Linked DNA regions of Schizosaccharomyces pombe. The protein of the gene in region 3 purifies or fractionates together with the protein of the main gene of each other region. This does not show direct contact. Each region holds a gene or a part of one and is shown on either strand. Other genes may lie near its edges.

Evidence for each region.
Region 1: the proteins of cdc5 (region 3) and cwf19 purify together in Schizosaccharomyces pombe (affinity purification with mass spectrometry; 3 studies listed by BioGRID, with this or other methods). This does not show direct contact.
Region 2: the proteins of cdc5 (region 3) and prp19 purify together in Schizosaccharomyces pombe (affinity purification with mass spectrometry; 6 studies listed by BioGRID, with this or other methods). This does not show direct contact.

What each region holds. Positions count from the first base shown.
Region 1 is NC_003424.3:1,101,825-1,105,579, reverse strand, and holds the start of cwf19 (protein Cwf19), read left to right. Parts: upstream 1-1,772; 5' UTR 1,773-1,832; coding exon 1,833-3,245; exon of another isoform or gene 3,246-3,289; coding exon 3,290-3,557; exon of another isoform or gene 3,558-3,600; coding exon 3,601-3,755. Other genes in the region: Lsd1/2 complex PHD finger domain-containing protein Phf2, read right to left, coding at 1-716. UniProt on the Schizosaccharomyces pombe protein: Involved in mRNA splicing where it associates with cdc5 and the other cwf proteins as part of the spliceosome. Involved in mRNA splicing.
Region 2 is NC_003424.3:5,131,590-5,135,344, reverse strand, and holds prp19 (Prp19 complex subunit, ubiquitin-protein ligase E4 Prp19), read right to left. Parts: upstream 2,123-3,755; 5' UTR 2,104-2,122; coding exon 2,046-2,103; exon of another isoform or gene 2,006-2,045; coding exon 1,901-2,005; intron 1,562-1,900; exon of another isoform or gene 1,416-1,561; coding exon 112-1,415; 3' UTR 3-111; downstream 1-2. Other genes in the region: rRNA exonuclease Rrp17, read left to right, coding at 2,407-2,510, 2,551-2,656, 2,704-3,105; RNA polymerase I upstream activation factor complex subunit Rrn5, read left to right, coding at 3,620-3,755. UniProt on the Schizosaccharomyces pombe protein: Probable ubiquitin-protein ligase involved in pre-mRNA splicing. May also function in DNA repair.
Region 3 is NC_003424.3:2,693,057-2,696,811, forward strand, and holds the start of cdc5 (splicing factor Cdc5), read left to right. Parts: upstream 1-1,642; 5' UTR 1,643-1,701; coding exon 1,702-1,720; exon of another isoform or gene 1,721-1,760; coding exon 1,761-1,780; exon of another isoform or gene 1,781-1,837; intron 1,838-1,846; coding exon 1,847-1,861; exon of another isoform or gene 1,862-1,925; coding exon 1,926-2,045; exon of another isoform or gene 2,046-2,114; coding exon 2,115-2,563; exon of another isoform or gene 2,564-2,627; coding exon 2,628-3,755. Other genes in the region: [pyruvate dehydrogenase (acetyl-transferring)] kinase Pkp1, read right to left, coding at 1-50, 130-296, 380-473. UniProt on the Schizosaccharomyces pombe protein: Involved in mRNA splicing and cell cycle control.

The DNA.
Region 1 (3,755 bases), 1.6 Mb from region 3:
TGACAAACCGAACATTTCATAGCTAATGCGACCACAGGTCGACGACCTGGGCCACGTCGTCTAGTAGGTAATTTTACAAGGGGATCGAAATGATTAGGGCGATGCACTTTTCTTCCTGATTTTGTTTTGACACCTTCCAAATTAAATTGCTCTTCCCTACCATCTTCAGTAGAAAAGAGGGCGTCAGCGGTGTTGTCACGTTCAATAGCCAAACTGGCAGGCCATGATCTTTTCCGAGCAATGTTCATAGCAATTGACATAGGAGGTAATGGCGATGAACTTGCAGGAACATTTGGGGGTAACGCAGATTTTGTTTGGGAATCAGCACTTCTATGATGCGCATAATTAGATGAAGATGCGTCTTCAGTGAAAGGTGCCTGTTCGCTTTTTGCATCGGTTTCCTGATTTTTACTAGATTCTATTTCTTTAGCAACATCATCATTTTTGTACGAACCGAAAGCACCTGACTCCTTGTTTGGCTCGTGAAAGTGTTGGAACTGATTTTCCAAATGCATGTTTGAATTCACGTTAGGATTTTGTATATCCTGAAAGGCTTGATCTATTAGCACAGAGCCTCCATTTTGATTAGATTCCTCCCCCTCAAACATCGTTGGATGCAAATCATTGGGAAATCGACGACTACCGTCGAATTGAAAAGGATATGATGCCGCTTCAAAAGAACCGCCATCGTCGTCATAGTACGATGAATTCGGCATTAGGTTTTAAATCATTCATATGCTCATGTAAAAAACAAATGAAAAAATGAAGCAAATGGCAAAAAATGCGAATGTGTAAGTTCAACACGCGTGTTTGGAATTTAGGTGAGATTTAACGCAACTTATAAATCGTTTGCTGCTGTTACTCCAATTATGTTTTGCTAGCGAAATGAGATTGATCATCACTATATCTCGCTTATTCACTTCTCACTACAACTCACTGTCTAGTCATATATAAATACTGCACGTATCCATGAAGAGCTGAAATCTCACATTTATTAGAGCTTTTTTATTTTTAATTTTGTTAAATTTAATTATTCATGCATTAACTAGTCATAGCTATAAATATGAATGAAAATTTGGTCTTTCCTTTGTTTATATTTCCTAGATGGCCTAACAGCTATAATTGATTGAACTTGTATGCTATTAAAGGCGATAAACAGACTTCTTTAGTACTTTGCTAAAGAAAATATAATTGCAATGATCCAATTACACTGGAAATACAGGTATAAAAAATCGTCACAGTTTGGAAACAAACAATGCTTTTTTTTCTGTGGCTGTTGTGTAGCTTTGCTAGTATCATAAACTCATTGTACACTAGCGCAAGACACACTATACAGTAGTTAGCGCGAGGTATTTTATTATTCTTTCCAACTTATTTGTAATGAAGTTCAAATAAACAATGGGTAATTTAGTACTACTAAAGTCCTTGCGTTATTTAAAAGGTTTTTGTTTGAAGTTAGTGGTATATATTTTGGAATCCTAAAGTTATTGTATCGCCTTTCACTGTCAATGTGGAATACTGCAAAGGCCGATACTCCTTCTTTCAAACTTAATTGTTTCACTTTCTTTTCTTTCCATTTCAACGCAATATTTTACAATTTTTTTTAATTTAAAAGAGAATTCTGATCATTGTCTAAACTAAACTCCTGGCAAAACTATCATTTGCGTTGCTTGTTTAGATCTGCATAGTGCCTGAACCACTTGACTTAACGAATGTACTACTACCATCGTTAAGTTACAATAAAAACATTATTTCCTTTTTCCCACCATTTTGCCTCTAATTATTGTTAAAAATTATTTATTTCATGAATTAATATTAAAATAACGTCCATTATGGAAAAGGAAAAGCTTACAAATAGGACCAGTACTCACAAATTCAATGAAACTGACAGAGAAACAAATCACTCTAGAAGGCATCGTCACCACCACTCTAGGCATCGTGAGAGCAAGCATGGACGACATGATCGCAGTGAAAGGCCAAGCTCTAGAGAAGCAGGTGACCGAAGTAGGCATGAAAGATTTAGTAAAGAGCCATTGGAGGTAAAGAAACTTCCTGTTGAAAATGAATACTTTGACTCCAAATTCGCTTCTGCTTCTTCCATGCCATCCTCCAAAGACAATCCACAGAATAATGACTTTACTAATTCATTGCAAGGTTTGGATTTTGGTACGTTCGGTTCGCGTATACAAAGAGAACCTATTGACCGAAAGTCCAATAAGCCTGGTGAAATTTTTGTTGGTGCAACATTACAGAATGAGAGTTCGACGAGTACAGAACATAAAGATATAGAACAGCTTGAAACCGAAATTAATGAGTCAGGAATTAATTACAAAATTGGTGATAATGGCTCTCGATGGCGTATGATGAAGCTCAAACGCGTATTTGACATGGCTCAAGACCAACGACGCCCCGTTGAAGAAGTAGCTCTGGAACGTTATGGTTCATTGAAAGAATTTGATTTTGCCTTGGAAGAAAGAGATGAGTTAGAGCTTCGAAAACGAACTCGAAAAGTTCAGAAAGAAGTTCCTACTGGCGAATTATATGAAAAACGATGTGCTGATGAATTTAAGACTAGAAAAGATTCTGGTAATGGCGCTACATACTACAAAGTAATACCTGACCCTTCTGTAAATAAAGATACTCCCACTGAAAGCGATTTGAATAGATTAAAAGCTGATTTGTTACGTGCTCAACTTAAAAAGGATCCTAACTATGAGTCTTTAGAAAGGGAATATCAGAAAGCTTGTGATGACTTCGAAAACTCTTTACACCCTTCGGAAAATTCTAATTCGCAAGCAACCATACCATCAAAAAAAAGAAACTTCGACGATCCTACTATTGATGAGATGGTACAGGAAGAAAAATTGTTGAATAAACAACGGAAATACGGCCAGAATTATGAATACGCAAAGCAGATTGCAAAGGATAAAACTTATTCTAACAATCTGGATTATTTGGACGAAAATGCAGGGAAACTTTCTAATCGAATGAAGCGCGGAGACGTCAGTCTAGCTCAAATTAGTAGTGGTGGGGATCTTAAAAAAATTAATCATGTTTTGGACACTTGTCCTCTTTGCCTAAATTATGAAACACAACCTTTGGCACCAGTAATATCTTTAAGTCATCGTGCTTATGTTTCTTTACCAACTCAACCCGAATTAGCTAAATATCATTGTTTAATTGTTCCTACAGGACATCGGATAAATACCCTCAGCTGTGATGAGGATGAATGGGATGAAATCAGAGTATGTTAATATAGTAAAAGGAAATAACTAACAAACCTTTTTAGAATTTTATGAAATGCATCGCCCTAATGTTTGATTCCATGAATCTTGGTGTTATTTTTTATGAAAACGCGCCTTCACCACAAAGATATATGCACACAGCTATTGAGTGTATTCCAGTCTCTAAAAGGATCCTCTCACTTGCACCTGCTTACTTCCGTGAAGCTTTGTCTACTTCTGACGAGGAGTGGTCTCAACATCGAAAAATTATTGATACATTAGAAGGTTCGAAGAAGTATGGAAAATGGGCTTTTCGAAAAATGATGGTTAAGGGTATGTTTGGAAAATCGTAATCATTTATTTTACTAATGATTAGAATTGGGTTATTTTCATGTTTGGTTCAGTATTGATGGTGGCTACGGGCATGTCGTGGAAGACGAGAAGGCATGGGGGAGGCACGATCAAGTTCCTAGGCAGGTATTTGCCAGTATGCTAAACCTTCCTCCTGAAGTAATCAGAAGGAAAGGTTCT
Region 2 (3,755 bases), 2.4 Mb from region 3:
TTTGCCTAAATATTTCATTATGAAGGAAATCACTTAAGTTAAAGAGCCAAAATCTTACTAAATACGAAAAGCCTAATGGAGGAGCACATAATTAAAGGATTAAAAATTGGGTTAACCCAACCGGAGAATGGCTCCATTTGAAGTACTAAACAACAACTGGTGTAACTCATTTAACCAAACCAAATTAGAAATAGAGGAAACATGGGTTTGACTCATACATCTCCAAGACTTTGAAGATTTGACATAAATATGTACATAGAGAGTCTCCCCATCCGAACTTACCAAAAGTTGACTAGTAATATCTAATGACACTGCTGCGACTTTGGTTTGTAGGGGTATTTTTTGAACAAGCTCAGATTTTCTTAAGTCCCAAATGAAAATGTCAGAGTCATCATTAGTTGTTACTACAAGCCAATAACCGTTTTCACCAAATTGTAATGTTTTAACTGGACTTGAATGTGGTCCAAATTTTGTAAGCTCATTTCCCGAGGAAGTCTCAAAAAAGCGTAACTCGCCATTCTCTAACCCAGCGACAAAGAGGTTACCGTCCGGATGTACAGCAAGAGATGTAATGTGTTGAGCAACGGTGATATTATAAACCTGGGATTTCAGGGAGAAAATATAACACTTTTCGTTTGATGCTGCTAATAAATATTCCCCACTTGGATGAGCTTGAAGGAAGTTCACCTTTTCGTCTATAGGAATGGACGAAGTAGGTTCACCCACACTTTGTAAACCAGATGAGGAAACAGGAAATTCAAAAATTGAAATGGCATCAGCAGTAGCGACAGCAATCTTGGAAGAAGTCAACCAACAACACGCTAAAGCTGATCCTTCAAAAATTTTGAGAGTACTGTTGGATTGGATATCTAGACATAAAAGTTCATCCTTATGAAGACATAATACAAAAGAAGAATTTTCAGGGGACGGGAAGAAAGACGTAGTGCTTTCTGTTTCCAAATTTTCTAAGATAGTAGAAGGAGTAGCTTGCAAGAGCTGACTCACAGCATCGTCAGTCGCCCATTTAGGTTGTAACTTTGTACGTTTCCTTTTGGAAGAAAGTTCTTGAAATGTTTTTTCCACCGTAGAGCGTAAGCTAGTTTTAAGCTGGTCATCACTTTCGCCCATCTCTACCTCTTGTACTTCAATAGTTTTCGAGGAAACAGTGCCTATGTTATCGGAAAATTTCGCCAATGCTTCTCTAGCTTCGTCTCTTTCTTTGGTAAGCCGAGATATAACTCTTAACGCAGCATCTAGCGAATACAATGCCGTTGATAACTCCTGCTTCGTCTCTGTAAGATTTCTTCTAAGTTCAAATTGCTCAAGCGCGACAGAATCCCATTCTTCTTGAAAGAGAGACAGCAATGCAGGCAATGAAGTGGCAGAAGGAGGTCGAGGTCTAACAAAATCAGGTACTGTTTAAAGGTTAGCAATTATCTTCGATTTGATTCGCTTTATATGTGAATGGTCAGTACAATCAAAATATAGTAAATATAAATCGCATTGGAGAGCAAAAACCAAAAAAAATCTAAAGTATTAATACATTTTCCTCAACAACTCCACATTAATTTTGATAAAGATTTGTTTTGATAAATCCGACAAGGTTGTTCTATAATTCTCTAAAAACCTTCCTAATTTCTGCCCCGAGATATTGACATGCACTAAATAGTCCACTTTTTAAGGAGAAATATAAAGCTGTAAAATTAAAAAATTTCGAGTACAAATCAATCATGCAATAAAATACATTATCAACAAAAAAAAGAAAATAAACGAGTTCTTCAACCAATATTGCAGGGTTTTACTTTCCAAACCAATTTCAGAATATTCAGTACTCCACGTATAAAAAAATAAGTGCTACTTGAAATTCTTAACCATTCAATAATAAAGAAGGAAATCTTACCCTTTACAGGAACCAAGTCCTCCAACGTGCATTCCTGTTGAGTAACAGGGTCTTTAGACGTTTCACGAATAACTTGTTCAATCAAGCGCTTCTCGTAAACATTTCCTACATTCAGTCAGACAGGGAAATTATTGTACAAACATACCACTTACACGAGAAATCACCGGTTCTTTTGGCGTTTCTCCACTGATTGAGCAAAACATTCGGCACACGTTGGTTTCTGTGTGTAATAGCTAGAGGAAAGCAATGCATAGCCAACTAATCGTTTACTGCACTATACCAATATCCGTATATAATATAAGGCAAATGCGATGCATTTTGCAAATAATTTTCTAGTTAGTAGTGCAAATGTACGTACAAGGCATAGTAGGGTTTCAGTACCTCTCGTCTTCATAAATCTACTGGACCATTACGAGACTGGATAGAATTGGAGATAATTTACTTAAAATCACTACAGATTCCCATAAATTGTCCCTCTCTTCTAGCTACTCACGAACTGTTGCATCATGGATAATACATCTCTACTAACCCGTGGAGGTGAGATTTACAGCAGGAAGAAAGGGAAGAAGCAAAGATTGGAGGAGATCGTCTTTGATAAAGAGAAGCGAAAGTATGGATATCATAAAGGGATTGCTACTAACTTGTTACAGAGAGTATTTAACTGGATTTCATAAACGCAAAGTTGAACGACGAAAGCATGCTCAAGTTCAATTGGAGCAGCAAAAACGCGAAGAACGTTTAGCGTTGAGGAAATCTGTAAGTTTTTCTAATACTATCTTGAGTATATCACTAACACTATTCAGCTCAGAGAACAGCGCAAAAGAGAACTGGCTGAGCGATTAGCATTCTCTAAAGAGTTGAATAGCTCGCTAGAAAATGATGAAGAATCTTCACAGCAAGAAGATTCCTCATCTAAATCTGACAGCGAGGAAGAGTCATCAATGGAGCCTAAAACTACTGAGTATGACGAAGATGATAAGCATGTTACGGTAGAAATTGTAGAGGACGATGATGATGAAGAAATTGCTTATCCTAAAGAAGGTTTTGTCACGCCTCGTATTTCTCCTCCACCAGATGTTCCTTTGCGTCCCCACAAGCCTAAAAATGCCGCCAAAAAGAAATTTCGGTATGAGAGCAAATTTGAACGTACACAGGACAGAAGAAAAGAAAAAATACGTCGTTTAAAGAAGAAAATAAGACGTTAAATTAGGAACTTCAAGCACACGTTGTTTGACGCATCTTGCCCTTTTTTTATATTTATGAATATGGTTGGTATAAAATGATATTTGAATTCAATTGTCCATTCGTTTTTCAGGTTGAGAATTTTTGGAAGTTAACAAACTACTTTACAAGAGATCATTACATATACGGAGTTTTTCTTGGTCTGATATATGCATTTCAGCCTTTTTCAATTTTTTGTTCACAGTTTTGATTAAGGTGTTTGTACATGCGCAAAAAATTTGTACTCAATAAGCGGTAAGCTAGATTTTAGCACGATTTATATTTTTTTATTATGTTTAAAACCCGTAAATTTTAGAGATACTCTACATTTATATATTCCTTTGGATTTTAGTATATTAGCGAAATTCACTAGAATACCGAGTTTGATCTTTGTCAGAACACAAACCACGTCTGGTAATGTGGTAAACAAAAAAATATTAAAAAGAAGACTGCAACAGCTTTTATTTCATTAGCGTTGATCATGTTCTCAATAATAACATGTCTTCTTCAATAAACGGATTAAATGAGAGTGAAGGGTCAACGCCTTTAAGCACTGCATCTATCATTGGCTCAAGTGAGCAATTGTACATGACTCATGATGAACGATACCTAGACGTCCTTCAACAATACGAAG
Region 3 (3,755 bases):
TGCTTTGGAAGACATTTCGGTAGTTCCACTCCTTTCAGTTCAATAATTTCCTTCAACCAGTTAGCTTTGTTTGATTTCTGGTTATGTTTCGACAAGTATCGAACATGCAAATATACACATTTGACCTACCTCCATAGATCTACCGTAAGCAGCCTTTACGGAAGATATACGCTTCATACTTCGTAGCATCGGTGAAAGATTCTGCAGGTCTTGGATGCGCCGAGCCAAGCGAATGGGCAATTCATCTCGCAAAAACAAGCCAGCCCGGAAAAGTGTTCCTGGTGTAGGGTTCTTGCCTTCATAATAAAAATTAAGCAGTCAGTATAAAATTTCTAGTATGAAGTAATCTAAGAAAAATTAACTGAGCAAAAATTCTTACCAAAATACACTAATTGCTTTAAAGACAACCCTGTTTGAGGATATTGAGCCAAGAGATTGACTTTCTCCTGTAAAGTTTTCCCGAGCACTGACATTTCTTTTAAACCTTAAGTTTTTCTTTAAATTCGATAATGATAAATAGAACAATTGTTCAATCGTAAACTTTGTTGGTTTGTCTAACAAATAGATGATAACCCATGGACGAGCATAAAAAAAGCGGCAATTTGCAAAATATAACCTAAAGAAAGTAAAAGATGAGCTTCAGAAACAAACAAATAAAGCAGTTTCTTAATGTTTTCACACAGAATCTAAGAAAGCTTTTGCTAAACTAATGCATTCATATGTTTGCAAAGTACCCATAAAAATAATGAACTTGAGTGTATTCCATTAAAATTGAAATGCGTGATACATTATACTTCTTTTGCATTGCTTATTTTATTTTTCACAATACTGCTAGCTACACAGTTTGTTATCTAATTTAAGGATACGTAGAACTGCGGTGAGTTTTCCTTGTGGTCTATTATATTACAATACACAGGTCGTATGAGTAGCAACTGAGTATAGGTATTGTATTAACTAGGTTATAAAATGTTACCTATCACTAATATAGCTTATAACTGAACCTCGTTCCTCAGTTCAGTTAAAACTCTATTTATAATATTTCTAAATAGTTGCTATCAACGGGTATCTATGTATATAGACGGATAGTTACCCGTGATGATCAATAGACGGATCTTAATTAGTATTCCAACATATGACATATAGTGATATGTAACGTAGTGTAGTATTGCTGACAAATACGCGGTCATTAGGTTACTTAACGATACACATAATACTGCAATGCTTGTAGTTACTTGTTGATATACCAACCATAAATAAGAGGAAGAGTATGGTAGATCCACCTTCAAGATAAACATATTTGATCATTGCTATATCCTGCTTGTCAAATATTTTCTTAATACTCAACGGTTAGGAATATTCAAAAAAATTTAATGTTGTCCAACGATTTTGCGCTATTATATTTTTGCGATAAAGAAACATGTGCTACATTGAAATAATTTAAGGTAAATATGTGATACGTAGCAAACTGGAAAAAACAATAAAATGAATATTTGGTTTGACTATTAGTGTGTTTAAGAAACTGTTCTTTTAAAAGTTAAAACTACTTTAAATATAAAATATAATTTTGGTCACTTTCTGCTGCACTCGACATTTACCTCAATTTCCCATCCACCCTGTTTCGTCGCAAGTTGTTACAGTTACTACAAACCTCCATTACCACGCTTTCTGACAATTGTCAGGGTTTTGGCGAATATTTAGAAAATGGTTGTTTTAAAAGGAGGTTTGTAACTTTTTTTATTGTATTTTCTAACATAATTTAGGTGCCTGGAAAAATACAGAGGTAAAGACTATGATTTTAACCTTCTACCACGCGCAATGTTTTTGTTACTAACTTATTGGTAAACAGGATGAAATCTTAAAGGTATTTTTTTATTTATTAGTTACATATTTCCTTTAATATTTAGAATACTAACGCAAATTCCTAGGCTGCTGTCAGTAAATACGGTAAAAACCAATGGGCCCGCATAAGTTCATTGCTGGTTCGCAAAACTCCTAAACAATGTAAAGCTCGTTGGTATGAATGGATCGATCCAAGCATTAAAAAGGTATGTTAAACATGTAATCACTATTTGTTATTTGACAAGACCTATTGTTAACATTTCCTTCACATTTAGACTGAATGGAGTCGTGAAGAGGACGAAAAATTATTACACTTAGCTAAGTTACTTCCTACACAGTGGCGGACGATTGCTCCAATTGTAGGTCGGACGGCCACTCAATGTTTAGAACGCTATCAAAAACTTCTTGATGATTTGGAAGCGAAAGAGAACGAGCAGTTGGGATTGATCAGTGGAGAAGGTGCAGAAGCAGCTGCGCCTGTTAACGATCCAAATTCCCGGCTTCGTTTTGGCGAAGCAGAGCCCAATTTAGAAACCCTACCTGCACTCCCTGATGCCATTGACATGGATGAAGACGAAAAAGAGATGTTGAGTGAAGCACGTGCACGTTTAGCAAACACACAAGGAAAGAAAGCCAAACGAAAGGATAGAGAAAAGCAGCTTGAATTAACTAGAAGATTGTCACATCTCCAAAAGCGAAGAGAATTGAAGGCAGCTGGAATCAAGTATGTGTTATTATTATTACTTTATTGTATTGTTTTTCCTTCATTATGTTAATCTATAACTTAGTATAAAGCTCTTCCGTCGAAAGAAGAATGAAATGGATTATAACGCTTCTATTCCATTTGAAAAAAAGCCAGCGATTGGTTTTTATGATACCTCAGAAGAGGACAGGCAAAATTTTCGGGAAAAGCGAGAAGCGGACCAGAAGATAATTGAAAATGGAATACGGAATAATGAAATGGAATCCGAAGGTCGAAAATTTGGTCATTTTGAAAAGCCAAAACCTATTGATAGAGTAAAAAAGCCCAACAAAGATGCCCAAGAAGAAAAAATGCGACGTCTTGCCGAGGCTGAGCAGATGAGCAAGAGGCGGAAGTTGAATTTACCTAGTCCTACTGTGTCTCAAGATGAACTGGATAAAGTAGTGAAACTAGGCTTTGCAGGCGATCGTGCTCGCGCTATGACTGATACGACTCCAGATGCTAATTACAGTACTAATTTGTTAGGAAAGTATACACAAATTGAACGAGCTACTCCATTGAGAACACCAATTAGTGGTGAACTTGAGGGAAGAGAGGATTCAGTTACAATTGAAGTTAGAAATCAATTGATGAGGAACCGCGAACAATCTTCTCTCTTGGGTCAGGAAAGTATACCTTTACAACCTGGTGGTACTGGTTACACAGGAGTTACTCCCAGTCATGCAGCTAATGGCTCAGCTTTGGCAGCACCTCAAGCAACTCCTTTTAGAACACCACGTGACACATTTTCTATTAATGCAGCTGCGGAGCGAGCAGGACGATTAGCAAGTGAAAGAGAAAATAAAATTCGATTGAAGGCTTTGCGAGAATTGCTTGCAAAACTACCTAAACCTAAAAACGACTATGAACTAATGGAGCCTCGATTTGCGGACGAAACTGATGTTGAAGCTACTGTTGGAGTGCTTGAAGAAGACGCAACAGACCGAGAACGTCGTATCCAAGAACGTATTGCAGAAAAAGAAAGGTTGGCAAAAGCGAGGAGGTCACAGGTTATTCAAAGAGATTTGATTCGACCATCTGTAACACAACCAGAAAAATGGAAGCGTTCACTTGAAAATGAAGATCCGACTGCAAATGTTTTATTGAAAGAAATGATTGCTTTGATTTCATCGGACGCCATTAATTATCCGTTTGGAAATTCAAAAGTGAAAGG